2 linked regions of the Drosophila melanogaster genome follow. The protein of the gene in region 1 purifies or fractionates together with the protein of each later gene. This does not show direct contact. Each region holds a gene or a part of one and is shown on either strand. Other genes may lie near its edges.

Region 1 (4,935 bases):
GTCGCACATACCGCTCTCGAAGCTTACGCACCCACGGTCACTGGTGGCCATCTGGTGCACCAATTCGACGCTGCATCAGTTGGCCCTGGAGCAGCAGCTGCTGCCCAGTTGGAATCTCCGGTTGCTCCACAAGCTCCGATGGTACAAACTTAGCACAGACCATGAACTAATTGCTCCCCCGCAGTCGGATCTCACCCAGAAGCAGCCTTACGAGATGCTCTACGTGGCCTGTCGCTCCGATGCTTCTGAAAACTATGGAAAAGATATCCAACAGACCGAGCTGATCTTCAGCGTGCCCAGCATTGTGCATTCCCACAAGCCACCACTGCTGTCTTGGCTGAGGGAGCACCTCCTGTTGGATAAGGACCAGCTGGAACCAAACTGCCTGGAGCTGTTTGCCCGATATCTGCATCCCCACTTCACTTCAATTGGCTTAGAAGTGCTCAAACTGATGGACGAAAGGCTATATGAAGTCCGTAAAGTAGAACATTGCAACCAGGAGGAGGTAAATTAGCTACGCCTAATTATTGTATTTAATTTTTACAAGTACCTCATTAAATAAGGGATTTATAAGCAGCTATGAGTTTTAACAATTTTATTTGTGTACTGTTAATGAGAGCAAATGCATTTGAATTTTGTGTGTAGGCGGCCGGCGGATGGGTTTCCTTCTTCCAGAGAAGCCAACGATGCCTGGCTGAAGCTAAATGTTAAACATTTGGGGTGGCGTGTGTGGGATTTTGTTTTGTTTTTTCTTTTGAGTGTTAAATTAAGTATTAAAGGATAGTAAGCATTATTAATACACGTGGTTAATCGCAGGCTACTACTCCTGACCCTGGGCCATGGCCGCCGGATTGGTGGGCTCGTTGCCGCCGCGTTTCTTTGATCCAGAGACGATATCATCGATGCGCAGCAGCAGGATGGCCGTCTCCACGGCGGTCTTGTAGGTCTGAAGCTTGACGGCCAGCGGCTCCCAGATGTTCTTCACGTTCATGTCCACGATTTCGCCGGACTCGCCGTCGATGCCCCAGGCGCAGACACCATCGCCGGTGTGGGAGGCGTGCTTGGCGCGGAGAGCAGTCAGAGCACGGATCGTGTTGGCGCCGCAATTCTGAGCCAGTGTGCGCGGTATGATCTCTAGGGCGTGGGCCACCGCCGTGTATGGTCCCTTAACCTGCTTGCGCGTGAGCAGCTGGGAGGCAGCCATCTCAACGGCTCCGCCGCCAGCCACCAGGCGTGGCTCCAGCACCAAGTTGCGGGCCACGTGCAGGGCGTCCTGCAGGTTGCGCTCCGTTTCGTTCAAGATGTCCTTGCTGGCACCGCGCAGCAGGATGGTGCAGGCCTTGGGCTCCTTGCACTCCGTCACGAAAGTGAAGTACTCATCGCCGATCTTTTTGACTTCGAACAGTCCAGCTCCCGTGCCCACATCCTTCTCGGTTAGCTCCTCAGTGCGGTTCACGATGGTGGCACCACAGGCGCGGGCGATGCGCAGATTGTCAGTCTTACGCAGCCGACGGATGGCCGTGATGCCAGCCTTCAGCAAATAGTGCTGGGCGAGATCGGAGACACCCTTCTCAGTGAATACCAAATCCGGTTTCACGGCAATGATGTCGGCGCAGATGCGCTGCACAAACTCCTCCTCGATCTGCAGCATGCGGGTGAAGTCTTGCTCCCCGATTATCTCCACGTTGGTTTGGCTCTCGCCCTTCTTGTACTCCAGCGAGCAGTCAAGCAGCACGATGCGGGGATTCTCGATGAGGCGTCGCATCTTGGGATGCGTCACGTCTTTGTTGATCATCACGCCCTTAAGAACACACGACTCCTCGATGGCGCCACCCGGGATCTTCTCCACCTTGGCATAGCTGTGAAAGTAACAAAGTTAAAATTATTTATTCAAAAATAATATGCATAACAAATTTCGTTCTTACCGTTTAATGTCTACCTCCAGACGGCCGTTCTCACTTAGCGTCACTGTCTCGACTGCGTCCAGGGCAATCTTGACGGCAAGGTCGGACCACTTGCCAATGAACTTGGTGCCCACACAGGCCTTGACCACATCGGCCATCTTGGCCTTATCCTTGACGTCCAACTGGATGCTAAGCTGGGACTGCAGGTGGCCGACGATGTCCTCGAGGGCCTCGCGATAGGCGCGAATGATAACAGTGGGGTGGATCTGTTGCTGGAGGAAGGGCTCGGCGGCGGCCAGCATCTCGCCGGCCAGGACGATGACCGATGTGGTACCATCGCCAACCTCCTCGTCTTGTGTGCGAGCAATTTCAATCATGCTCTTGGCCGCCGGGTGCTGCACAGTGATCTCACGCAGGATGGCGTTGCCATCGTTGGTCATCACGATGCCGCCCATTGGGTCCATCAGCATCTTCAGCATGGCCTGTGGCCCCAGACATGTGCGTATCACATCGGCGATGGCCTGGAAAAAGACGTTTTAATCAACAGATGGTCGGAAAACGCGAGAACACAAAAACCCAAGACCCAGACATGTGAGTCACGCATACCTTTCCGGCTTGGATGTTCTCCAACTGCACTTTGCGGCCCGATTCTCTCTTTGTGTTTTGACCTGTCGGCGGGTAATTCGATTGCAATTGGGCTCTACGACGTGCAAATTTCATACTCACTCAACACGAGTATTGGCTGCTGTCCACCGAACATCTTTCTGGCTGTTTAATTTATTTCTGCGTGAAAACAATTGAACTCGTGCTGGCGCTGCCGCTGTTTGAAAGAGAATGAGTGAGGTTAGAACCGCCGATGACACATTATTCGAGAAGGTTCGATAGGATATTGAGCGGACCGGCTTGTTAGTTACTTCTGCCAGTTCCTTCTTCTAGTTTCTTTTCTTTCCTCACTTACTGCTAACTGACTTTTGCGATCGCTTATAAGTTTAATTCAAATTCTCCACAATTCGAAGCAGCAGCTCTCTTAAGAATCGATATCGAGAAACAGTATACTTACACTATGCAGCTTTTGTTATCGATGTCACAGAATTACATTCGTCATAACTGCGATTTTTTGAAGGCGCCTAACTTGGTTTTAAATTTTCCACCCTGAGGTTTAAGCGAAATCAAAACATTAAACTTGTAACAATAAATAATATTTTCTACGGTGTAAGTGATACTGGAAATTAATTTATATTACGAATGGATTTTAAATTTATGTTATATAGCATATTTCTATCACATCATAATTAAAATGTGGAAATTTTGAAGCCTAAAAAGCCTAACCAACTAAACTCAAAAGAAGTTAAAATATAATTTATGAAAATTGTATCACCTTCGAAAAAGAAAATGTTGGAGGATATTCTGAATATAACGGGGGAAAAGTGATTACTTGGAATGATGAGTTACATAAACAGCGTCGAACTTTTTAATATTTGAAGATCCTGTGCTGTATTCAATAAAACTGCTCAAAACGTATTAAATGGATTTCATGGTAGTTTTTATATATAAATGGAAAAACAAATAAGTTTTGCAAATACTTTAAAAGTGTAGTGTAAGCGTTTCATAAATTAAATAAATTATCGATATCGATAACAAACCGCGAGTCAGCTGTGGCCTGTTTGTTTACGATACATTTCGGCTTCAATTTGTTTTTAATAGTTATTAATTTTTTAACTAGACAACATGGAGGCCAAGAAGATATCTTTTGGCTTTAGTAAATTGTCCAAGAAACCAAACATTCTGCCCAGCAAGCAGCCGAAAGAGGAAAGCAAGGTGGAGTTGATAAAATGCTTGGAAGGAAACGAAATCATGCCAGTCGAGTAAGTTAAAATATCTTGAAATAGTTTTATACTCATATGTAATATTTAGCGAAAAGGTGGAAGCTGCTCCTCTTACCATCAAAATGATAGGCATGCAGAAGACTTCGTCCGCTTTGGCGAGTCTGATGAGGAGGCGGGCAGTTCTGCTGGGCGAGGAGGAACCGGATCCAGAGGAGGTGACTCCAGTGGCTCAGTCTATAGCAGAGGTCACCGCAGGCGGTCCAACGGAGAGTCTGGAACAGAGAGCAGCTCGGGAATTGATATCTGCCATCCAAAATAACGGTGCCGAAGGCCTAGATGACCAGAAACTTGTCCTGCCCGCCCTAAGCGCAGACGAACTGCCTCTCGATGGTGCCAAGGAGGCAACACTAGATGACTATGACAACATACCGATACAACAATTTGGCCTAGCCATGCTGCGCGGCATGGGCTGGGTTGATCCACCGCCAAAAAAGAAGGGCTCAGGACCCATCGATGATGCCCCCTTTCTGCGACCCAAAGGCATGGGCCTGGGAGCAGATAAGGCGCTCAAACCTAAAGCTCTACTGGTCCAGCCGGAGAAGAACGAGGTACTGGAGATTAAGAAGCAGGCGTACGTGCGCATTCTGGGCGGAAAGCAGAAGGATCAGTATGGCCAAATCCAAGGTTTTGATGACCATGCAGGGCGAGTAATTGTCAAAATGGCAATTGGAGGGGCCAAAGAGGCGTTCAACGAGTTCCTTTGTCAGCCCGTATCCCGCAAGGAGTACTCTCAGTATGGCAAGTGCATAAGTAAGTGGAGCCTGGAAAATGCAAATCCTTTATATTTGTGACATTTTTATATTTCTTTTACATTTACTTTCAGACACTGCCAAATACGAAGAATTCAAAAAAAATGAAAACGAGCATGGCCAGATTATTGTGAAGCAGGAAAATCCGTCAGGAAGAAGGGACAGAGACCGCAGGGAAGAAATTAGATCAGACCGGGATGAAGCTCAAAATCAAAAGAGTTCGAAGCCAGGGGACCAGAGATCTAGTAAAGAAGACTATCGCATGAAATGCAAGGAAGAAGATAAAAGGTCTTACAAATATGAAGACAAAAAAACGTACAAAGACGAACATCGCAGGACGTACAAAGACGAGCGAAAATCGTACAAGGAAGCCAAATCTAACAAAGAGGAGGTGGA
Region 2 (4,853 bases), on another chromosome or scaffold:
AGAAGCGACAAAATAATGAGGACAGCGAAATTATTCCTATTCCATTTTTAAGGGAATATACAGTTATTAAAATAAAATATTTTCATACCCAACTTTACTTGGTTAGTCCAAATATTTGTATAGCCCTTTAAGGAGTTTATTATGTTGTAACTTGGATAGAATGGATTCCAGAATAGTTCCGGAAATGACTTGAAACTGTATTTCCGGCTTTCACATTTAATTTACATTTTAGCGTGGACACCTACCGCAATGGTTTGGTTATATGCTAACGCTTTCCTTAAGCTCTTGTAAAAGTTTTGTAAGTACTAGTGTTATACGGAGATTTTGTTAACAATTTCATTGAAGTATTTACATACGTAAGAATTTCAACAGAAATGTATCCTCCCAGTCGGGTTCATTTAAAAGGATTAACGGTATTTTGAAAAATAAATTATACAAAAAGATTTACAATCTATAACGTAGCTTAGAAAATGAATTTCAATTATCATTTTATTATATATTTTATAGAAATTGACTTGAATAATGTGGTGTCCATTGCAAAACGGATTAGCAGGACTAGACTTATATTACGAGTCATTTTTCGATTCTCCCACTTATGTATATTGTTCAATTGACCTTTGATAATACAAAATTGCCTAGATTTCAAATAATATTACGTATACTAAAATTTATATATGTATGAAGTTGTTAGCCAGTTTCTTTCTTTTTTTTTCCATGAAATATTGAAATCTTCCTTCCGTTTTGCTTTGAAGTTCAAGTTATTTATTATTTGTTGTATTCTGCAAACAGCTGTTTGCATTTCGGCCGGCGTCGCAAAAGCAACAATTTTCAACCGCGTAAAGCTTTTGGCCTCTTGAGCCATAATTTCATACAGGTTGCAGGCTTGGAAAAATAACTCAATCTGGACTCACCTACTCACTCTCACTCTCTCCCTCTCCCTCTTCCAACCTTTCCTTTATTCACTCACTCTCCCACGCGATTTTTGGAACAAAAACGACGGCAGAGGAAATGCAGCGCAGTCGACGCCAAAAGGGATATTTTATATTATATATTAAGCCCGTCCTTAAATATGAATTTCCCAATCCTATTCTTATTCAAATTATAAAATGTATATTTAGCTTTAAGTTTAAAATATTGTTAAGTCGTACTCGGCTTCATTACGTAAATATCTTATTCATATAATTTTTGTACACGTAGTGTCACATGATAGAGTAATCAAATAAATGCATTTGGTAATAAGCTGATCTTCTGGACATTCAAATAACTATGCTCAAAAACCTTGCTGGCCCTTGATTCACTTAATAACTCAATTTTAGGACTTTCAGTGGGTGGAAATTTCCCTGGCACCCACGCAAACGAACGGGTTAAAAGATAGTGAAAAAGAGAGAGCGCACGAAAGCAACAATTGCTTACTCTTATGCACAAAGAAAAAATACTAACAACTTCAATTTTTGCATTGAATTACATAGAATTCGATAGAAAAGCCCAGGTCAAATAAAAAATTAAAACAATAATTTAGATAACGACTTATTTGATGTTAGATATTAGATTTAATTCGGTTAATGGGTAAGTTAGAAGAAATAATGTAAATTTTTGCATTGCAATAATGAAGCAATGAAACAAGCTTTACGTTAACGTCACATGAACTACCGTTAGCGAGCGAACAGTGCAGAAAGCGCTCAAGAGCGCGGAGCATTCCAATGCGTTGGAGTAAGAGCGTGCAGAATTCGTGGGAGCAAATTGGCGCCCGAATCAGCCGCTTTTCGTAACTCACTCAATGCGAATTGTTTTCAAGCGCCGGAGAGAATCTATATAGAGGGGCTTCTCCGACTCGCTTCGAATATGTTTTTCGCAGCGCGCGCGTTCGCATCGGAAAATCAGAAAAGCTGGCAAGCGTTTAAAAACAAATTCGGCAGGTACAATTGTTACTTGTTTTCCCCTCAGTTGACTATTTCGTCGCAGGTTTTTGGCCAGCGGAAACCATCGTAATAACCGTTTATCGTTATTTTATTATATTCGCGTAAATCGTTGTTTGTTCAACCACAGAATACTTGTTGTTACGCATTTCGAAAATGGAAATGCGAAAATTTCCAAGCAGTGAAAATCAAAACGAATAAAATATATTGGCTGCTTTTCGTGTTTAGCGCGTACGTGTGTGTTTCTGTGTTAGTGAGTGCAGCAAGAAATAAAACCAAAAAGCAACAAATAAATAAATAGAAAACAAAAGCAAAATCAAATCCAAATTCAAAGGCAAATACTTGCAAAGTAAGTTGATAATATCAGAGTGTGGTGCTAGCATATGTTGCATTATTTTGCCCAGCAATTTACATGTTTTTCACATTTTCTTCTCTCACAAATGACAACTAACTAATATGGATGATATTAACGGTGTTTAGAGTTGGCTTTTCCATTGAGAAATATGAAAAAATGCGTTCAATATGTTAGCGTACACACACACACAAGCGGCGGCTAACTGTTGTTTGTGTGTATGTGGGTGAATTGGCAATAACGCGCACGTGTATTAGTGTGTGTTTGTTTTTGTTGCCTTTGCGGCCAAGTGGCAGCAAAACGTTGCAAGCAACAAAAACAATAACTACGATGGCAAAACAAGTGCAGTCAGCAAAACCAACTCAACCAGTGCCTCTCGCGCTCTCCCACTCTCTCTCTCTCTAATACCCAAGCCCACCTCCTGCTCCCACACTCACCCTTCTCCCTCGCACCCATTGACGCAACTGCATGGTCAGGGCTTCTTTTACTGTTACAAAGCTCATGCGTGGACCCAATAGCAAAATGAATGCACGATGTACTTAGTTCATTAATTCCGCCAAATCAGAAATTATAATTATAAATGTACGAGTTTAATGGATTAAAGTTAGGTGTACGTAATTTTTTTAATTGTATGACCACTTTGGTGAAGCATAACCGTGGTATGAAGCTATTACAATTTCATGAACTTGGCGGCATAAACTTTGCAATTTACTATCTATGGTCGTCTTTGGATTTTTGGCTTCGCGCTTTTTGCTCTTCGAAGTGCGCTGCTCTCTTTGCGCCAAACAAAGCTCGGCCGACACTTGTCGCGTCTTTTGGATATCTGGCCTCCTCCCACCGCCCACTGCCTCTTTACATATATCTTTTACATTTTTTGCTTTCATACACTGAATAAAATTATGGGTATATACCGTACTATCAAATGTTTCTGAGTAAAAATTAATTTAAATAAAAAATTTAATTATATAATTATAAAATTATTATATAATCACTTGTATTTAATGTTGTATGTGTTGCAAATCCATTAATACTTTTAAACTTCTAGGCTTAAAAACAAATGTCTGTGAAAAAAGTGGAATTCTTGGAAAGTGTATCTCTTTGGCTTTTCCACCTCGAGGCGTTTTCGCTTGAAGCTTTTGCGAGTTTGGTTCGATTTCCATTTGCGTTTAATTGCATTTATGCATTTTTAATCGAGTTTGACTTTGGTGAGCTTTTTACTTTGGCATATGCTAGATTGTCGCCCAGACACACGGGGTTTTTTTGGGTGAAAATGGGCTCTTGCTGATCCAAAAGATAAGTTTCAGTTTCGTCCTTCTTGGTAGTGAGATGTTTGGACAAAGTTTTCTAATTGGCCTTGACGCCGTTTTCAGAGTTTTAGTGCTACTAAAAGGCAAGAGTGCGAACTTTCTGCGTCTTTAATAAGATAATTTATTTGCAATTATAATTTGGTTCATTAAAGTTAATTGAATTAAGGGCAGGCGTTACATTCCAACCAAATGGAATGACAATGGGTGTGGGGTTAAAGATAAAAGGATTTTAGTTAGTGAGGAATATATTTTGTGATAATAACGGGTAATTAAATTTTTTTTTATTTTAAACTGAACCGCTATTAGGCAATTTTGGGCATTAAATAGTTAAAAGCTTTAGATACACAGTTTCAATGCGGTATACAAAACTTCATTAATTTTCGATTAATCTAGTATTTTTATACTATAATTTAAAAACCTTACGTCATTTATTGTTTTAAATCAAATTTTAAATTTAAATATTTTAAGATATTCCACTTCTCCAAAGAGGTTTTTTTCGAACAATTTTTAACTCACAGCCAACAGCTGTTGCATCCTAAGCAAACATTTGTATGTTTAACTTAGTCCTCTTGAAAGCTCAATTAAAGTCGCGTGTATAACCGCCCACTACCCAGGGATTCTCTAAACTTCTACACTCCGAACACACACGCCAAGTTTGCAACTTGGCATATGTTTATCTGCTAATCATGGAAATGCGATGCGGTGTTGCAAAATATTTATCTAGAAACGGTTGACTAAAAAAGAGGGAAATAAGCGAAACAGCTTTTCAGCCAAACTGCAAATGGGAAAGCAGCCCCCTTACCGGTTTCCCACTTTTCCGGCACGGCGACCATATGCCAAAAAGCTGAACCAAAAATCGCACACACATTTGGGGATAAAACGCGATGCGAAAAAAGCATAAGTAGGCTGCTGTGACATTTCGTTGTCTGGGTATACGCTCATCGCGAACAAGGATACAGGAGCATTAGGGTGGAGCAATTTGTTCGAAGCTAAATATAAAAAACTTCAATATTGATTAAACTTGTTCATGCATATAGGACTTAAACTAAGTAAAGATCTGAACTAAAATTAAGTGCTTTTTTTTTAATAGAAGAAATATTAAGATCAGCTATTTTTGCGGACTGTTGATTTCCTTTTAGCGCTTAAACCTTTATAAGAATATACTTGGCATTTCAAGACTTTCGTAAATTCAGAACTTGGCTTAGATTGACGCACCCTGATAAAAGCACACTTATAAAGGCACACATTTGTATATCCGCACATCGGCACACACAAATA

What was found. Proteins that work in one complex are often made in the same cells at the same time.
Region 2: the proteins of CCT3 (region 1) and mtgo purify together in Drosophila melanogaster (affinity purification with western blotting, with the first as the bait; one study listed by BioGRID). This does not show direct contact.

Annotation. Positions count from the first base shown.
Region 1 is NT_033777.3:16,645,625-16,650,559, reverse strand, and holds CCT3 (chaperonin containing TCP1 subunit 3), read right to left. Parts: upstream 2,956-4,935; 5' UTR 2,665-2,955; coding exon 2,631-2,664; intron 2,573-2,630; coding exon 2,511-2,572; intron 2,426-2,510; coding exon 1,926-2,425; intron 1,860-1,925; coding exon 821-1,859; 3' UTR 582-820; downstream 1-581. Other genes in the region: Mettl4 (methyltransferase like 4), read left to right, coding at 1-514; CG10324 (uncharacterized protein), read left to right, coding at 3,633-3,769, 3,819-4,540, 4,614-4,935. UniProt on the Drosophila melanogaster protein: Molecular chaperone; assists the folding of proteins upon ATP hydrolysis. Known to play a role, in vitro, in the folding of actin and tubulin.
Region 2 is NT_033779.5:16,543,174-16,548,026, forward strand, and holds the start of mtgo (miles to go), read left to right. Parts: upstream 1-1,842; 5' UTR 1,843-2,265; intron 2,266-4,853. Other genes in the region: CG31816 (uncharacterized protein), read left to right, coding at 1-2.